2 linked regions of the Lonchura striata genome follow. The protein of the gene in region 1 interacts with the protein of each later gene in a pairwise test. Links are inferred from orthologs where the notes say so. Each region holds a gene or a part of one and is shown in the gene's direction. Other genes may lie near its edges.

Region 1 (10,524 bases):
CCACAGCCAAGATCTGGGGGGAACAGTGCAACTGAAAGCGAGAAGGAAATTTTGCAGGGGTCTTTATCCTTGGTGTGCAGGTATTCCTTGCCTCTTTTGCTACAAATGGGATCCTTGTAGGATCATGGACAGTGTTTTAAGCAAGACTGTGTTGCATATCATGTGAAATACAAGCAAGTCTGAATTTTTTTAGAGCTTTTAGACTCTAAAAGCAGACTTATTCCTTCAGTTCTTGCTTTTTCAGCCTTCAGTCTGCTATTGATTCTGAATAGAAAGAAAGCATTATTCTTAATTTTGGTGGGATTAGTTAAGGTCAGTGAAAATCCAGTTAACTGTTATCAGTCAACTTTACTGATGCAATTTACAGATTACTGGATTGCTTGCTCACACTGGAGTTTCAGAAAGAGAGCCTGTGACCAAGTGTCATTCCTGCTGAGTCAAGCTGTGGTGTCGCAGAGGTGGAGCAGGAAGGTGAGCAGTGGCACAGGCACATGCTGCATGGCCACAGCAGCGTGGAAGGAATCAGCCTGAATTACAGGTCAGCCAGATCGACTACTGACTTCACAACTGCAAAGTGCAAAGGAAAGCTGTTGAGTAAATAACATGCAAAAGTGTAGAATGCAAGAGCAGCCTGTGATATAAAACCCCAGGGCAATATTTGTACAAGTCCAACCCACCTGTGAGCACAGCAAAGCTTCTTAGTGCCACTCTGTGCTGTCTCAAAGGCATGACAGCAGCTGCAGAGCATCACCATCACGGGTTACTTTTAGCAGCTTTCCCCTTTCTTCCCAGTATCTTGTAGTCACAGTGCTCTCAGTAAGTTTTGCCTTTGAGGGCATTAAGTCTGAACAAGAGAGAGATACAAATGTCAAGCAAGACTTGATTTATATGTTCTTCTCAACTGATTGTTTAAGAAACTCAAATTAAGAATTCACACAAGCTCAGCTTCTCTGCTGCCCCCAGAGAATTTAAGTCAGAGCTCTTGCAAGACTGACTATTGTCTTGAAAGGACTTTGGAGTAGGCCCAAACCAGCCATAGCAGGACTTTGTGCAATAATTTCTAAAGTTAATCACAGAGCATGCATGCAATAAAGGTGAGTGACAAAGTCCCACCCAAAGTCCTATTCTATAGCTAATGCTGTTAGTTGTCCCTGAGAGTCCAAAGGTTATGCATCACCTTAAACTGCTTCTCCAAGGGTGAGAATCATTAAACATTGAAAAGAGAGAAGAGCATGCTGATTTGACATAATCACTTCAGCAGCTGCCTGCTCTGCAAATGCTGTTGGATCTCAGGCATGTTGCTGGTAGTTGCCAAAATGATGACTGCAAGAGAGGCAAGGAGTGGAAGCACAAATTAAAACACTTGGGAATTATTCTGTCTCAGGTCTGTAATAGTCTGCATTCATTTTCGCTTGGAGGTGTTTTATTGAAACTCTCTCCCTTCCTTCCCTCCCCCAGTAATTACCCCATTGTAAATCCACAGTGTGTGAAAGTGCTTCAATTTGAAACCCATGCTATATCAAATTGTTCTCATCCATGCCAGTCATTCTCTGCTACATGAAGCCTGGAAAATACATTACTTTCATATTTTTTATCAGAAAAAAACCCGAGGGCTGTTGTTTTCTTGGAACATTCTGAGTGAGCATATGTGCTCCATAAAACCACTTCTGGTGCTTCAGTTCATTTTCTGGAGTGCCAGTGAACCTTGAAGAGTGGTCTCTTAATGATATCTCAAAGCTTTAGTTAGATCTTAGAAAATCAGAGGAGCAGCTCATTGCTGCTGAGATTGGGAAGGACTTCCAAGTGCATTTGTCAAGACACCACATTAATGTGACCCTCTCCACTCCCCAAATCACCTTGCCATAGTCTGTTTTGCATTGCAATTGCAGGAGGAGGCTTTCCACCAGCATCCAAAATACCTTCACTTTCCCCTCCAATACAGATAATGATTCTGTTTGCTGATTTCCCACTGGGATTTAAAAGGGAGTTTGTAGAGCCGGGCAACTTCTATATGTCCTTCCTCACTACTTATTCAGAAAGGCTCTGTGGCTAATATATATATGTATTTGTGCTGAGCTGGTGCCTTCACTGCTCTCAACTCCATAGCCAGGGGCAAAACTTAGAGATGCTGGTGTCAGCTGCAGTCTTTAGTTGTCTTCAGACTAAACCCCTAGAGAGGGGGAGAAGGGCAGAACTATGAGAGGGGAGCTTGTCTCCACCTCCAAGGGCCAGATAAGGACAGCAGAAGCAATTTTATTAACTCTATGGAATTAACCTATGGAATTGCTATCATCTTACACACCAAGGGTACAGTGTCCTGAAAATGCAAAGGAAAGCATTTCTGCTTTATTAGCTCACTTTTATTGCTATCAGTGTGGAGATCCAGCTGTGTATTAGGCTTTTACTCAGTCTGCACAAGGCAAACCAAAATATTTTAAAAAACAACAGCTTTTGCATAAAGCAGATAATTGCTGGGCATTGGTTGCAGTGAGCTGAAATCACCTGGAGCAGTCTTCTAGTCACAAAAATCTGTTTATCCAGTCTCCTGGGTAACCTGCTTCTCCCTGCAGCCCTTCTTTAACTTACTGCTTATCTTCCTCACCATGTTGTGTTTCTTCATTAAACCTGGGGAAGGGAAGAGAGACAGTGGTTACACAGAGAGGCAAATTACAAGGTACACCAGCACAATGTAGAAATAAAAAACAAGCAACCCCCAGATCACACAGGTGTGACAGACATACAAATGCATAATGTCAGTCACAGCTCTCATTGCTTTCATATCCATGAGATAATTCCTAAATCCCTTGAGTCCCTGACATGCAAGCCCAGGATATAATAAGCAGGGATGAATTAACTGCATGATACACTGATGAACAAAATGAAATCAAGTGCTTTTATTGTACAAGGGGAAATGCTTTGCATTGAACAGTGGACACATCAATTCAAATTATGGCTCACGCTGCATAAATGATAATGAGACTCTGTCTCAGGCTGAGTGAGAAAGCTGAAGGGAGCAAAGACGCCCACATGATGCTACATCCTATCAGTGCTTATCATTCAACTGGGACAGCAGAATTTATGTTCCTAACAAACAGCTCTCCTTTGAAAGATACCTGTCTGGGCAGAAGGGCATCCTAGTGCACTTCGCACACAGCACTGAGCCAGCAGTGTGCCTATTCAGGCTCTTTAGCTTTTCCCCCATCCCAAGTGTCACATATTTTTGTCATTTATGTTGAAATCCAGTCATTCCTTGGCATTACTGGAACCACTAGCATTGATGTTATTTGATACCACCACTTCTGTAGATAAAGACAGGACTTCCCTGCAAGACCCAGTAATGTGTCCATGCAAGACATAATAATGGAAGTGAAGGCACAGCTCATGTGTCATGAGGAAATAGGAGTTATATTTCAATCTTTCATTTGAAAGTGACATATTCAGAGATTCCTGAGGGGACTTTCACAGCCTTTTTGGGTTTTTTACTTTTGTTCTTAGCTATGCAGCCAGTTAGTTTTATCCTCTATGCTTCCTAGCATTTTCTAGGTAATTTCATTTTGGCATTTAATGCTTTGCCTTGGGAAATCTTGAAGTGTGCTGCTTGAAGCAGTCAATAGCACTCAGGACACGGTCAAGGACAGGCTGGATAGCACTACATTTGTGGCTTGTTTGAGAATGTCTGATGGTAGGTTCAGCACTGCACAATTCTCACTGCTTGAACTGGAAATGAGACTGAAGGATGACACATGCATTTCCACATCCAACTTCTGCAATGAACCTCTGACCCAGCTAATTTCTCAGAGGCCCCATCTTTTCTTTAAGAAGGAATAATGACAAGAAAGGAACTAACCTAATAAGACATCACAGCCTTACACTGCAGACAGCACACATTAGGCAAGGATAGGAGGGTTTGAGAAATGTCATCCTGACCTCTGGGTTCTGTTACTTCATTTGCTAGACTTGGGGAGAAGGCTGCTGGTATGAACTACACAGGAAATGGTAAATTACAGCTGAACTGTGTGGGGTTGAATTGGTCACTTAGCAACTTCTCTAGCTCTAAAATGAAACCAGATTTCTTTAGGAATAAGAAATGAAGAACTTGTTATTTGCACCAGGATTTTAGGCAAAGGATACAGTCATTGAGTTCTAGGGGAAAAATCCAGGGCCAAGGGAATCAACTGTGTACCTGCCAGCCATCCTAGCTACTGCCTCAACACCTAAGACTGACCTTAACTTGACTTAGCTGTTGGGTGACGTAGCTGAGCACAGTTAGCACCTCAAAATAACCTTTTTGTTGGTGTCTATCAACAGTTTCTTTGCAACTCCTTAAATTTTGGTCAGACCACTGATATATGCACAAGAACTCTTCCTGCAGAAAGCTGCTAAGTCCTTTGCACACAGCTTTCCCAGACACTGATTACAACCAAAGTATAATGTCCAACCTTGTCTCACTACATTGCATGTGCAAATAGAAGGAAGAGTTTGGCTGCCTTTTTGCAGCCAACAAACTGATCTGTGCACACTTTAGCTGGGTGTTTGCAACCAAGAAACTTATATATGCATATTTTTAACTTGATGGTGGCTTTTGAAACAAATTCACAGAATTGTTAGGGTTGTCAAGTATCCAATATTAGATATTTCATACAAGGAATGGCGCAAATTATGTTTACTACACATAAAAGAGGCATTATCAAGATAATTCTGTTATGCATTATTATAATTTGCGCTAATGAAATATTGTTGTATTGAATCAAGGGAAATATGATTTGGCACGTGTAATATTTAGTTATTACAAACTACACACACCAGCACTGTGAGCTGCCCCCCCACACATATTCGGTTACACCAGAGCCGGGTTTTGTTGGACAATGCCTCATTTACAATCTTATACATGTGGCCGGTCTGGAGATGGGCTGGAACACCTGGGAGCTGATCAATACCAAAGGACCTGGGAGCTGATCAGTCCCAAAGGACCTGGGAGCTGAATAATACCAAAGGACCTGGGAGCTGAATAATACCAAAGGACCTGGGAGCTGATCAGTCCCAAAGGACCTGGGAGCTGATCAATCCCAAAGGACCTGGGAGCTGATCATCCTGGTAACAATCCAAGATTGGGATCACTGGAGTCCTCCGGGCTGATACATCTGAACGCCAGGAAAATCAGGAAAAATCGTCCACACCTGGACCTGGATTGTTCAACCCCGGCTCGGAGAAAAGAACTTTATGAATATGTGGGACTCTGAATAGAAAGAAAAGGCTGAAATCCTGGCCTCGGGCGGAAAATTTCCTGTAAGAACTGCAGGGCCCAGGAGTGTGGTCTGTGTGTGTCCAGGGGAACCTCTGCCAGAGGCTCCTTCCTGTCATGCACCCAGCGCCGAACCCGGGCTCGGCACTGTCCTTTTCCTTGTGGCTGGCTCAGAGAGAATTCAATCCTGAATAAATATTTTATTATTTCACTTTTAATTTGGCTGGACTAATTTGCATTTATAACAGTTCATATCAAGCAAGCAGAGCACCCGGGCTGCCTGTCCTGACGGGACACGCCTAAGCAGCCGCCCCTCAGCGAGCTCCGACAAGGGCCTGTTCTGGGCCCGGGAAGAATTCGATCCTAAATAAACATTTTATTATTTCACTTTTAATTTGGCTGGACTAATTTGCGTTTATAACAGTTCATATCAAGCAGGCAGAGCACCTGTGCTGTCTGCCCTGACGGGACACGCCTAAGCAGCCGCCCCTCAGCGAGCTCCGACAAGGGCCTGTTCTGGGCCCGGGAAGAATTCGATCCTAAATAAACATTTTATTATTTCACTTTTAATTTGGCTGGACTAATTTGCGTTTATAACAGTTCACACCAGGCAGGCAGAGCACCCTGGACACGCCTAGCTCAGCGAGCTCTGCAAGGGCCCAGCACCGCCGGCAGCGCCCGACGCGGCCGGGCCGGGCGGGGCCGGGGGCGGTGTCCCGGCTCCCCCCGCCCCTGAGCCCGGCCCTGCCGCACCGAGCGGCCCCGGGGCCGCTGCCATGGAGCTGCCGGCCGTCAGCCTCAAGGTAGGGCTTGCCCTGCCCCGGGGCCGGGGAGCGGGGCCGGGGGGCTCCTGGGGCGGGTGGAGCCGCGGGCACTCCGGGCAGCCCTCCCCGTATCCTTTCCTCTCGCACGTTCTCCAGCCGAATGTCTGCTCCACGTCCTGGCTGAGGCCCTGCTCGGAGCTGCGGGGCTCTCCGAGGAGGAAAACCTGAAGTTTTCCTCCTTTTTCCTAAGGAGAAGAAACTGAAGTTTTCCTCCTTTTTCCTAAGAAGGAAAAACTGAAGTTTCTACTTTTTTTTTTTTATCACATGCGCAAAGGGTGCAGAAGTTCTGAACGCCAGGAATCCGAGTCGCGGGGAGGGTTAGGTTGGCTATCAGGAAAACCTTTTCCCCAGAGGGTGATAAGGCACTGAACAGGCTCCGCAGGGTCACAGCATCAAGCCTGCCCGAGCTCAAGGAGCATTTGGACAATGAGCTCAAGCACAGGCTGGAGTTCTTGGGGTGTCTTGTGCAGTGCAAAGAGTTGGTGATCCTGATGGGTCCCTTCCAACTCAGTGTATTTTATGATTCTTAGTTAAACCCACCAGGTGATGACTCCAAAGTTTGACCCTACTTCAGAGATATTGCTGAAGTGGCTAAGGACTGTGCAGAGACAACAGCTGGCTATTAACTAGTGTCCATGGAGGTTTCCAGCTCAGCTGACCAGAACTAAGGCAAGATAAACACTGCACTCCTCAATCCTGAGGAGACAAAGTTTTGCTTGTCAGACAAAGTATCTTAGAAAAATAAGTTCACTTACTTGGGGCTTATCATCTGAGACATAACTGCAGTTGCTTCTCTGCTGGGGAGGGCAGGCTCCACTTGTGGGCACTTCGGAAATTTCAATGAATATCTGATAACCAGGGAAAGGAGATATAAGAGACTTAACCAGTAACATAACATTTTTCACTTTTGGAAGAAGCACTTGGTGACAAGCCAGTGGATGTTAAAATCACACTTTGCTTTTGATGTCGATATTTGATTCTGATGTCTTCTGTGCTACCAGATACGTTATATTTTTCTCTTTTTTCTTTCACATTTTCAGAACTCTGAGATTTCTAGATGTTTCTGTCCTTTCCCAGCTTTGCTACTTTGTGATTTCATTTAATGCAGAATGGTTCAGGTGCTTTCTTTGGTTAAAGCTTTGCCCAGAGACTGAAAGCATCACAGATCACATCAGGGCTTTTTTTGCTGGTGATTCGTTAAGCTGTGAGCAGTGGCCTCGGACCAGGTTGCCTATGGGTTGGAAGAGAGAATAGAATTATCTCAGCTACCATTATTAATTCAGCTTTGTACAGGACAGCTTTCATGTGGCTGTATTAAAGAAAAGATTGCTGTTCATATAATGATGAATACCCCTCTTACTAGTTCACCAAGAAAAGCAACTTCCCTTGTTAGAGGCAAGTAAGCAAATGGATTTTTCAAGGCCCAGCTTGTGGATTATATTACATTCTGGAAACTAGCTGATACTTTGCTCTGACAAGTTTGGACTACTGTGTAGTTCCCAGGGCACTAGGAAGATTAAAAGATCTTGCCTTCTGCTTTGTTTTTTAACTTGGTTTGATTATTTTTTTTTTCCACGCTAAAACAACAGTGAAAACTAAGGACATTTTAATTAAAAATTTTGCCAACACGAAATACATGTTCTCCATGAGAAATGAAGATAGGGGAGCTGAAAAACACTGACTTTTCAATGAATGAGCCACAAAGACAACAAAACTAAAATGTTGCTTTTCTTCTCTTGTTCAGACAACTGTTTTCCCAGTCTCTTGCTAGATAAGTGTGAGTTTGTCCTGGGCAAACTGTTTTCAGCATTAAGAAATTCTTGGTTGTGAAGTCTGCCACTTCTGCTCTGAGCTGCAAAGACAGGAATTGGGAGTTAATAGTTGTGCCTGCACTTCATTCTGTACCTGAGTTAGGGCCTGATTCCCTGTAAAATACCACAAAGGTGGGGAAGATTCTTACTCAGAAGAGTAAGTAACACACACTGCTGCTATTCATTGGCATGATCTGCTTACAGGTTCTGTGAGATTATGAAGATGAGTCTTGTGATAGAGATAGTTCAAAGAAAGCTGCATGACTGAGCTGTGCCTGTGCCAGAATGTAGCAGTATCTTAGCCTTGGGGTCTCTCTTTAAGCTCCTTGCAGAGCTGTAAAATTAAGGTAGGCTTTGCCCTGGAGTGGGTGGGGAACATGCTCATTGAACAGGATCTACTGGCTTGGTTTTAACAGCCATGCTCAGCAAAACGGGGGAAGCAGCACAGCCATACTTTTGCCATGACAGCCATGATTATTGAAATAATCATGCAGAGCCTTGAAATACAACGTTTGATCAAGGCTGGACAATGCCCTACAATCCATGTGCCTGGAAACACGTATTTTGTGCTTAGGCATTTTTTAATGCTAAGTCACCGAGTCAAGGAATAATAGAGATGTCTGTATGCCATGTGATTAAACCTCCTACTCAAAGCAAGGCAAACTGCAAAGTTAGATCAAATAGCTCAACTCAAAAATCAGCTGAGTTTTAAAATAAGAACAGAGCCATGTCAGCCCCATTGTATAGTCTGTCCCACTGCTTAAGCACTCTCATTATTATCACTCTGTTATAATAATGAGGAGCATATTCACAGGTGGCCACTCAGATTAATATTTTGGTTTTGTGTGTTCTCAGGTGAATGCCGTAGAGTAGGCGAGCTCACTCTAAAATAGAAATTTAGATAAAACCAAGAAAATAACTTTAATTTGGAACTGTTTCATTTTTAACTTCTTCAAAATTCAGTCTTGTGCTAAGCTCTGTGCTGAAGCATGTTTAAAAGAGTTCCTGTTCCAAAGAGCTTCCCATCTAATGAGACCCTGGCAGACACTGGCTCTTTTTATGCTTGGCAATTAGTTCCATCACATGCTGGGATTTGCAAAGGAGGTAGGAATTCTCCTTAGCTCTCCCCAGTTTCCAATGGGATGCTTTTAATTACATAGCCATCCTTTTTCCCAGAGGAGATGGAGACAAAAGACCCACCTTTCTTATTTTCTGCTCTCACCACTAGTTCATCAATAACTTCAGAGTTATTTTCTCAAAAGAAGAAATGTATGTCTGTCTTATCTACAGACTTAAGTCCTTGGATAGATGGAAAAATTTTAAATTCTTCTGCTGTTTTATTAGAAGAGTGCCTGCAAATTAACTGGTCTCACATAGTAGCTTGTAGTTTTTCATTAACACCATATTTTCTGTGTTAAAGCATACCAACACCACCAGCCATTTCATAGACTGCTGAAGAACTGTCAGGTAAATTGGACTAATAACTAAAAAGGGAATATCTTGGTTTTATTTCAGCAGCCATTCATAGTATAAGCCCTAGTATACCTGACTTTATGCTGATGACTAAACATACCTCATAATTTAGTAACTGCAGTATTGATCTAGACAGCTTTTAAAAAAACCCACCCTGCTTAATTATGTTAACTGGTGAGCCTTGCGGGGTCTTGTGGGTATGTAACATGCAATTAAATACCACCTAATTAAAATTTTTCCTGATGTTGTGATAGTCTCTTGAGTAAATGCTATTTGCATGTCTCCATTCTTATCCAGGAACATCTTGTATTTTACTGATTAGCAGGTTTTCCATTGTGTCTGTGGTACAATTTGGGAGAAGGGGAAGCACAAGGGGTAGTGAAGCATTTTGTAAGCTTTCATAAACAATTAAAAAAATGAATTAGTAAAAATCTCTCTAAGCATTGTTGGAAGTTACAGCAAAGTCTAGTGAGTGCTCAGCAGCTGTGGTGGGATGAGAGATGTTTTAAGTCAAAGAATCTAGCAGGCTGTCAGTAGATCTTAATTTATTTTTTGTGCCTTTATGCTCCTATCTGCATACAGCTTTCCTGTGTTCACTGAGTAACTTATTCTTTTGCTGTGTACTCATTTCCCAATTTTCTTTTTTTCCTTTGGTGTGGGGGAGTGTGCTTCAGAGGGGTTTTGATAATGTGGGTTTGGTTTTTTTAATACCAAGGTCAGCAGAAATGCCAATTTGAAGACTTTCTCACAGCTAGGAAAAAATGAAAGTGCTCCTGTATCCCATGGATCCTCTGATATGTCCAGGCTTCAGCCTTTCCTTAGTGAGGCTGTTAATAGAGCCTTGTCTCCCATATTCTTGCTTTTATAAAAGTTTAGAGAGGAAATAGGAGTGATCTCCTTTTGCTGGAGTGACCAGCAGACTATAGATACAGAAAAAGCCTTGGGTGATATATTGTTGTTCCCATTTGCTCTCTGAATAAACATGTAGGGTATGTTTCCTTGGTTACAAAAATGGCAAGTGGTGGTGAAGAGCATCCTTGTATCACTTATTACAGTATGATCCTTTCTTCTTGGATTTGTCCCATTAAGCACAAGGACCATGATCATTAAGGACACTTGCAAAATACAGAATTTATGATAGCATTATCTTACTGCTACTCAGGCCACTGCTGGT
Region 2 (10,087 bases), on another chromosome or scaffold:
ACAATTTAAAAACTTTCTTGCTCTTCCAATACATCGACAGGTACATAGTTTTCAAAATAGAAGGAAATTGTACAATGGCAGATAAAATCTGACTTGCAGGGCTACAAAACCCTGCTTTCAACTTGACAGACATCAGAAACAAATGTAAGAAGTGTAGCCTTATTTTTCCAACAAAGAAAAAAAGCCTCTTCATGCAGTAACTCAAACTCAAATTCCTAGAATTCAGAGTAAAATTTAAATGAGAAATTGCAAACAGATAATGATCTGTGATAAGGCAGGTGACAAAACCATTACATAAAAATCCATAAAATATCTATAAACAGTAATAATTATCTGCAACATGCAACACTGTAAACACTTTTTTTTCAACTGTGGAGGTTAGGTTTCTAGTGCAGTTCCATGTTTAGTTGAGTTGATAGCACTAATTCACTAATTCAGTGTAATTAAATTTAAGTAGAAATGCATCACTTCTTGCAAGGACTAAATGAAGAAAAACTGTAAAAACTGATTGAAACTAAAATGATTTCAAGATCGTACTGCATTATTTTCATTATTAGCACAAAACCCCCAATTATATTCTCTCTCTGAACTGCAATCATATTTGGCTTCAGCAATCACGTACTAAGGAGCACAGAGACATCTAGTGAATAATTAGTCAAGTTACAGACACATTTCCTATGGACCATGGGGTATTTGTAGTTCTAGACAAGAGTATTGGAGCTGGTGAAGGGTCTGGAGCACAAGTCTTGTGAGGAGCAGCTGAGGGAGCTGGGGGTGTTTAGCCTGGAAGAAAGAAGGCTCATGGAAGACCTCTTTGTTCTCAACAACTGGCTAAAAGGAGGCTGTAGCCAGGTGAGGTTGGTCTCTTCTGCCAGGTAACCAGTGACAAGATGAGAGGAAATTACCTCAATTTACATCAGGAGAGGTTTAAATTGGATATTAGGAAAAATTTCTTCACTGAAAAGGTTACCAAGCATTGGAATAGGCTGCCCAGGAAAGCACTTGGCTCATCATCTCTGAAAGATTTTAGAAGACACTTAGGCATCATGCTTAGAAATGTGGTTTAGTGGAGAACTTGGCAGTTGTAGGTTTATGGTTGGACACTTGATGATATTAAGGATTTTTATCAACCTAAACAATTCTGTGATTTTAATTCTTCCAAAAATAAAACTCTTAAGATGATGTACTATTCATAGAGGTAAAATGTCTGTGAAGCACAAAAAAATGTGGCTTTATCATATTTGTAATTTTTGACATTAATGAATTAACACTGCTGGCATTGCATTAATTTAATCTTGATTCATTTGCATGAGAAAGATATGAAATCAAGTGGTAAACTCAGCTACTTATGACAGACAAAAAATTTTTCTTAAACCAGATTTTTTCTTTTTTAGAACTTAACCATAACGAGAAAATATGATGACAAAATAAAGTCTTCAAATACAAGATAGCTCACAAAGAATTCTACATTCATTTTTAACATGCTATGCCAAGTCCAAATTTTCATTTTTTTTTTTTTTTCTTGATGGTTGATATGAACTGCTCTGTGAGTAAGGCTGATTAAGATTACCTGGTAAAAACAGTTGTTATATTTGAATCAAATTTCAACTGTTCTTTTACATTTTCCTTTCTAACAATGCCAAGTAAACCAGCTAGAGAACTACTAAGGAATACTATATTACTATATTAGTGTGTTCTCTGATAATGACATTTGTCTTGCCAAACCCAACAGGAGTTGTACTGGAATGACAAAGAAAATAGGCTACATTTAGCTACTGATGACAAATTAGAGCTAAAAAGATCTTCCCACAGAATTTATCCTCTTTTCATTCATCTCATTATTATTACTGTTGTGGCTTTGCTTGCAAAATCAAGCAGGGAGGTGAAATGACCTGCACAAAGTTCAAACAGCACAAGTATGAGCGTTTAGGGGTTATTTATTTTTTATATATATATAAAATACATCTTGGAATACAATGGCTGTTTGTGCCTGCATGCAAATGTATACTGGAAAAATGAGAGGTCAGATACTTTCAAGATCGTGTCACAACCTTGTGACTGGGTACAGAATTGCAGGCACTGTGCAAGGCCTTTTACAGAATGAAGACTTATCCTTTTTTCCAGTGGCCACTGAGAGGAGCTCTGTTCCCACTAAAAGGATTGGGGATTATGAAAAGGCAGGAGATAGGCAAATTAAAACACAAAGTGGTGCTTCTTCATAGGAGATACAGACCCAAAATTGCTGTTACCTGTCATGATTTAGTTATATGTGAAATATTTTTCTCCTTAGAAATGACCTCAGTGGAACAGGAATTTCCTTCTTAGAGGAAATATCTGGCCTGTAAAATACATCCAGGGTGAGACTGATCTTATTTAACCACAGGCATTTGAAAGCCTGATGTAATCCACTATAAATTCCATTTTTCATTTCACAGTCAGTGAAATGAAAAAGGGGGAACACATTGTTCTTTAAAGACAATTCATCTACCTCAAACAAAGGTAGGAAAAGTACAGAATAAGGTCACTCTCTGAAATTGTCTCTCCCCATTGAAGGGTCTGCAATAATTAATTCAGACAATTCACCTTCCTCCTATATGGTTAATTTTGGCAAACTGCTCATTTCCCCCTCTAACTTCTTGCTCACTCTTGACTTGCAAATATTTCTCATGGAACTGAAATGCCCTCACCAACTACGAAACACAGCCAACCTCTCTCTCACCACCACATTATTTCTTTCATCATTACTTACCCATGTTTCAAGCTGATTCCTCCACCAGTTCCCGTTACCCAGCCTAAACCATAAAATAGTCTACAAAGCTCTGGGATAAGATTCCTTGGATGTAACCCATCCTAAAAAGCAAATAAATAAATCAATGAAAAACCATCAGAAACACCTCAAACCTAAGAATTCAAGCTCTCAAACTGGGTTTAAAGGATTAGTACCTTCATACTACAGCAAAATGGTCTAATTTATGCTAATGAATTTCAATTACAAAATAACTGCATGTTTACACAATGCCCTTTATGCTCTGCCAGGGACATTACACCTTGAAACAAACAAAACCTCCAAATAAGGTGCAAGTCTGACTATCCTTCACAGAAGAAGTCTCATCTAAAATTTATTTGAGCGCAGTGGCCCGTAGATATTACACCAGCAGGATTATGTTATGGACTATTGCACAAAAAAGGGGAAAATAAATGCATCTAACATCAATTTTTAAAAGCTTGACTAATAGTTTTCCTATTAAATCAGTTTTTCTGTAGGTTTATTTTGCTTGATTTACAAATTTCAGACAGACTTTATTAGTCAATATACATTTTTAAACAGCACTCAAAAATACCACGGAAAATATATGCAAATTATTTTATGGGCTTTACATTCCTACATTTTTACAACACAAAGTTACTTTACATGCAGTTTAGTCAAAAAGCAAATTACATTATTTTAATACTTCTTTAGAAGGGAAAAAACCCATCTTGTAGTTTTTCCCTATTCCATTTTTTATTACATTAATATCCATATCTATTAACCAAAGGTATCTCTGGTGTCAGAGGTTAGAATTTCTACCAACATTACCACTGTAATAGAGCTGCTTTTATGGTGTGCTTTTATGTAGGATTCTTTTTTTTTTTTACTGCACCAACTAGAAGCTTTAAAATGATTAGCTGCTCTAGTGCTCACCCTGGTCACTAATGCCCATCAAAATAATTTCCAATTAAAATATTTGTTCAGCACCAAGAATCCACATGGGGGGGGGGAGCATTTTGTCAACACCAACAGAATAGAGAGACCCAAAACAATAGCAGCACACAGTAGAAATGGTAAGCAGGTGCTTGGTGCCAATACCTTTGCTGAAATGTTTACAAAGAAGAGTTGGACTTGCAGAAGTAAGGGTGGGGAGGCAGCATGGAACAGGAGCGTGAGGCAGAGACTGGAAAGGTGAATTACTGGAGATGGCAGCCTGGGGCACGTTTGACAACGTTTCGAATCTCCTACTTTAACCTCATCTTTACAACCTCCAGTGACAGTGGGATTTGTTCTCTCTTACCAAAGATCATGGACATGCAGGAGATGGTCTTCCCTCTCACCTCTGTGACAATGTTTTATGTATTGTGACAACTCAATCTGCTGCTCTTTTTTTGCTTTGCTTTGTTTATGATGAGCTAGATTCCCTCCCACTTTCCTGGCAGGCCACATTATCTAGGCTGCTGATACCTCTCATCTCCCTGCTGCCAGTTCTTGCTGGTTTTGAAGCTTGGGCTGGTCTCTCCACCAGTGTCACATACAAATTGGAGAGATGTTCTGAGCCTCATCCAGACAATGCCTCCATATGCTCAGTGTTTGCTGAAGCACAGCACTGCCAGCTCATGTTCTGGTTGTGATGTGATGACAGATAAAGCCCCAGTCAGAGACCAAATAAAAACAAAACAAAACAAAACAAAAAAAACAAAACAAAACAAAACAAAAAAAAACCACAAACCAAATCAGAAAACAAACCTAAACCACCCAGTTAACATAAAAAGAGCCATGACTCCTGTCGATGCAGCCAGACTAACAGCTGGCAACATTCTGTACTAAATTTTATAACGTTTGTGTGGGCGCACAGAATAGCTGGGTTGGAAGAGCCCTTTGGAGACAATTCAGTGCAATCCCCCTGCCGAAGCAGGGTCACCCCAGCGGGTGAAAGCCCAGCTGGGCTTTGAGTGTTTCCAGAGAGGGAAACTCCACGATTCCCTCGGGCAGCCTATTCCAGTGCTCTGCCAGCCTCAGCGTAAAGAAGTTCATCCCCGTGCTGAGGCCGAACTCATGCTTTTATGAACATTGCTCCTGGAATGCTGGACACTGACTCCGCCTGGACCTTGCTGCCTGACTTTCCTCCAGGGCACACTTCCTGCTCGTGCTCAGCTTGCCACCCACCGGTACTCGCAGGGCGTCCCTGCTAGCGAGCAGCTGCGAGGCTGCCGGCAGTGAGCGGGGCTCCAGCGCAGCCGAGCCCGCGGTGCCGGTGCCCTCGGAGCGGCGCGCCCCGCCGCCCCGGCCCCGTTACCTGCGCCGCGTCCCCGCCGCCGCCCGCCATGGGGGCCTCGCTCGGGCCTTCTTGGGGCGCCCGCGCGGGCGCCTGCGGAGCGCTGGGCACGCCCCGGCCGTGGGCACCGGCCCGAGCCCCGGAGGGCGGGATGGAGAGGCCGCTGCTCGCCGCGGGCCGAGGGGACTACAGGAGATGCGGGGGCGCCCGGGGGACGAGCAGCCAGGCTGGGCGCGGATGTCCGTGCGATCGCACTCGCCCGTGGCCGCGGCGATCGAGGCGGCCGATCCCACGGCCGGTGCCGCGGGCGGGGCGCGGGGGGCTCCGGGGGCGTGCCCGGTTGTTTCTGCTCAGGCGGTCAGCGGGGCAGCCCCGCGCGGTCGGGGCGGGGGAAGATGGCGGCGTCCCTGTGGCTGAGCGGCGGCGGGGAGCGGCTGCTGCGGCTGCTGCGGGCCGGGCGCTCGGCGCTGGGCGCGGGGCTCTCCCTGCCCGCCCGCGCAGGATGGAGGCACCTGCACGGCACCCCGGAGCTGCTGGGTGAGTGGCGGTGAGGCCGGTGCCCTGCTCTAGGTGCGTCTGCGAGGACGTGCAGCGGGGAGAAGGCTGAGAGCGGGTGGCTGCGGTGGGCTGACCCCGGCTGCGTGTCTGTCAGGGGCTCTGCGCAGCTCCTCCAGAGCTCCCCTCCGCACACGGGCAGGGGAGAGAAAATATAGCACAAGGTTCACGTGCTGAGATAAGGACACTGGTCCATTACTGTCGTGGGCAGAGCAGACTCGAACTGGGGATATTCACTGAGTTTATTGCCAATCAAAATCAGAGCAGGATAATGCGAAGGAGGGGGGAAACCCAAAACACCTTTTCTTCACCCTGCTGTACGTCCTCCCTCCGTTCGCTTGGTCTCGGGAGGTACTGAAAGCACAGCGGGATGTGTGTGGGCTGGCAGGAGAAACTCGGAGGGACGTGGTAATTATTAAAGGTCTAGAAAGGAAGAAAGCAAAATCTACAGTGGAAAATACATTAAGCCTTCAAATATGAGAATATTTTATTGTGGATAAGGAGAAAGTTTGCACCACTGAAAACAGGACTGTGTTTTCTAAGTGGAAATATAGCTAAGCACTGAAAGTTTTTTATTTGGTTATTTTGGTCCTTGTGTGGTAATTCCACCACATTTCTGTCATCTTACTCTTCTGGTAATGTTTCCAATAACTGCAGAACCTACTTGCTATGTGTGATATATCTTTCATGTTATTCTATTTGATTTTTTAATGGAAAAATAAAATTTATTACTTGTGTGTCTAGCATCCTTTCCTACATAGAAATCAAGGTGTGAGGTTATGACAACACCCTTTCAAGATGTATTCTTCAAGAGTTTGTTGCTACATGATTATCAGGCAGATCATTTGCCCTTCCATGTTTTCCTCTGTCTCTAAGAGGTGTGGGATGAGTTACGGATCCTGAAATGAAATGTCATCTTTCCCTGCTTGCTCTGTAAGTTACAACTTGTAAAAAACATTTAAAAAATGATCAGGTGCATTGTCATGAGGTCCTTGTGTGATGCTGAGCATGAAATACCTGAACTCTTTGAGGTTTAAGTGTGCTTACAAAAAAGTGAGCTTTCATTAACCTCGTGTAATAAAACTCAGTAGTAGTTCAGAGACAATTTAATCATTGTGGTTTAGACCTCGACATTCCCTTCTTTCCAGCACTGTTGCTTTGCAGTATGAAAATCTTTTCCTTTGTAAAACCTGCTGTGTGAGATACAGGAAAGTCTATCCCTTTCTTGAAATAAATGTTATTTGTTTCCAAATTTCATTAGAAAAAGCTTGTTTCTTTCTACATATAATAGTATGCAAATATAGTATAATGCACAATGAACTACTCCTAAATTGGTCTTATTATCTTGTCCTTAAATAATTTTTGTCTACAGTCCTCCCAGACAATCTATTGTGTTTTTTATATTGAGAGTGCTTAATGTATAGCTGGAGTTAAATTTCTAAATTTGGACATGCAAATGACTAAAATCTTTTAATTCCTTACAGTAAGCTTTAAAGTGTTAGGGTGGATAGATCACACCTTTAAGTCATTCAGGCTTTCCTCATTCAATCCTTCTAGTGTACTTACAGCTTTTCAAGGTGGTGAGTATTTTGGTGATACCAGTTTTCTTAATGGTATCACCAAACTATTTTCTTAACTTCATTGTTGCCTCTAAAATAAAAGATGAGAAGTAAAACTGTCTTCATTTGACAAGACACACAGCTCATTTGGACATAAAACTCATCCTTGGTTCCTAGTTTGACAATGTAAATTTAAGCAAATTTTATTTTAGCATTATTTATATTTCTCTGCTTTTCTGTTTCTGAAAAAGCCACTATTTGATGTATTGGTTCATGTGGATCTGGTTTATCATGTCGCATGAATTTTTTGTTTCTTTCTATGCTTCTGTCCATGTTTGTGGTGCTGGTAGAGGAAAAGTTGATTTGCATAATTAAAACAATTAATTCAGAATGGAATTCCTACTTTGTTGGTAACAGAGAAAGAGGAAAACAAGAGAATAGAATAGAATGGCCTCTTTATGTTAGAGCTGTGTCAATTTTTCTTTGCTTTTAATGTTTCATAGTAACATTGTCCAGTTAGAGCTTTAGCTAATGAAGTCCTACGCTTCTTGTTTTTCTCTCTTCAGTCCACATTGGTGTTAAGTTGCAGTACATTTTTCAGTTCTCTACAGACTGCAGAGTGTGTGTAGGAAGTTACGAAATATCTTTCTAGTGGGACAGGTTAAACATGCATTGAATCCCTTGACAGAGAAGGAAGGCAGCAGAAATGTTGCCAGACTCAACTTGACAGTTAAAACGTGTCACCAAGAACGAATACACAGAGAGCTGTCTTTAAAATAGCAGTCTCTTGTTCATGGGAAGTTTGTTTGGGTTCGTTTTAAGTCTTCCTCCTTTATATTTACATAATTGAAGTGTAATAACACAGTTGCTATTGATAGAAGTAAAAATCAGTTGGTGGTGACTGAAAATTCAGAAGTTTTGCTTGCTTATGGTTCTAAATTCTGATTTGCCCATGAGCTCAGTCGTTGAGATTCTGTGCAAATTGCCAGAACTTTTTGCTGACCCACAATTGCAAAGCAACAATATTACCTTCCCAATGGAAGTCCTTGTAAGGGCTGCCTGTACTGTGCAACTAACTCATGTAAATGCAGTGATTCCTCTTAGTATCCCCTTTTTAATTTGATGAGGGCAAATAATATTTGGTGAAGGTAATTCTACATTGTAAGGCTGCTTTTCTTTGCGGGGTTGCTTTGAAGCCTGGTTTTTGTATGTGTGTGGTCATTAACTCAAAAAGTAACTAAACCAGCTTTGAAACACTCCCGTTGTGGCTGGTGTTCTTGCGTATCTCATGCTGAGCAAGGCTCTTAATTCTCTGAACTTCTCTGAGCGTGGGCCTCTCTGGACATAAGCATTAAAAGGTTCTGTCTTCTACTTTGTATCTAGCTTTGTTTATTCCTCCATTTCAACTTGCTGCTGGAGTTCTTTTTCTAACTTGATGAAAGGATCAGAATGGATTGTATGCTTTGGGGTAGTTACTCATAACATTGATGGGAAAATGTTAAAGTGGCACAAATTTCTTGCTCAGTTTTGTATTTGTGCCAAAGTACAAAGCATATTCTGGGAAATGGATCAAATAGCTCTTCATGGAAGAGAAATGTGAGCCACTGTTTAAAAAAATTTTTCTTCATTAAATATGTGGATTATTTGCACTTTTAAAAATGAGGTTTGTCCACTAGTTCTCAATAATCCTAGATATTTGTGGGATATTGTTTGAAAATAATGTTTTGATTGTCAAAGTCAGACTTGTCAAGTTAGACTAATGAAACTGAGAACACTTCTTTGCATCCCATAATGTATCATATAATGTATAATGTTTTCTACTTTCTGTTATAGAGAAATATTTTTTAATAAATATGTATAGTATAAGACAGTTTTAAACTCATACTTTGTCAGTCATACCTCAAATACTACAAAACTATTTTGGAAATGAACACAGATAAGCATTCACGTACATAACATAGTTCATTTTTCTGTTTATTAGTCCTAGATGAGAAGTTGCAAAAAACATTTTAAAGAAAGTGCATAGAGGTAATTCAGATGGGAATTGTGAGTGTTACAAGGAACATTGTCTGGATACATTTCTAAACATGACAGTCATGAGTAATATTAAACTGAAAACTACCATGAAAAAACTGAGACAAAAGAATGTGCATTTGCTCATGCAAATGCATGTTCTTCTGGGAACATCAACCATGCAATTGAGCTCGTTTCCACAAAACTCAAATGTTTTTGGTAGCATGATTCTGATTGTGTTTGTCTTGGGAGCTTTAGGGAATAAGTAACTTTCTGCTCTTGGTGCATTTTAAAATATCAGGATCATTGATGGCTGCTTAGGTCATTAGAGGTTTGCTACAATGTTTCCGTGTCACATTTTTAAAAAACTATTGAGCAGTTTGGATTGGAAGGGACCTTTAAGGTCATCTAGTCCTTCCCCCCTGCAATGAGCAGGAGCATCTTTAAATAGACCAAGTTGCTCAGAACCCCATCCAATCTCCCAGTGGTGGAGCATTCACCACCACTCTGGGCAGCCTGTTTCTATGTTTCACCTCTGTCATTGTAAAAATCTTCCTTAAAGCCAGTCTAAATCCTCCCTCTTTCAATTCAGACCAGTACCCCATGTTCCATTGCTGTTGGCCCAATTAAGAAGTCTGTCCCCATCTCTCTTAAAAGCCCCCTTTAGTAACTATTGCAGGACTGCAATAAGGTCTCCCTGGAATCTTCTCTTCTCCAGGCTTAACAACTCTGACTCTCTTGTTTCTTCATATAAGATGAGCTCCCTCCCTCATCATTTTTGTGCATGTTCTTTGACCCCCCTCCAACACATCCATGCCTTTCCTGTGCTGAGGATTCAGGAGCTGGATACATTCCTCCAGATCCTGGGATCTCACCAGAACAGAAAGGCAGAATCACTGCCCTTGACCTGCTGGCCACACTGATTTTAGAAGG

Evidence for each region.
Region 2: the proteins of AGTRAP (region 1) and PDHX interact in binary tests that used the Homo sapiens proteins (3 or more experiments, as listed by UniProt). The two-hybrid records come from large-scale screens. The link is inferred for Lonchura striata from reciprocal best matches to the Homo sapiens genes AGTRAP and PDHX.

Annotation. Positions count from the first base shown.
Region 1 is NC_134626.1:5,565,435-5,575,958, reverse strand, and holds the start of AGTRAP (type-1 angiotensin II receptor-associated protein), read left to right. Parts: upstream 1-5,971; 5' UTR 5,972-6,018; coding exon 6,019-6,045; intron 6,046-10,524. UniProt on the Homo sapiens protein: Appears to be a negative regulator of type-1 angiotensin II receptor-mediated signaling by regulating receptor internalization as well as mechanism of receptor desensitization such as phosphorylation.
Region 2 is NC_134608.1:43,716,120-43,726,206, reverse strand, and holds the start of PDHX (pyruvate dehydrogenase protein X component, mitochondrial), read left to right. Parts: upstream 1-5,408; 5' UTR 5,409-5,422; coding exon 5,423-5,564; intron 5,565-10,087. Other genes in the region: APIP (methylthioribulose-1-phosphate dehydratase), read right to left, coding at 2,750-2,850, 5,049-5,078.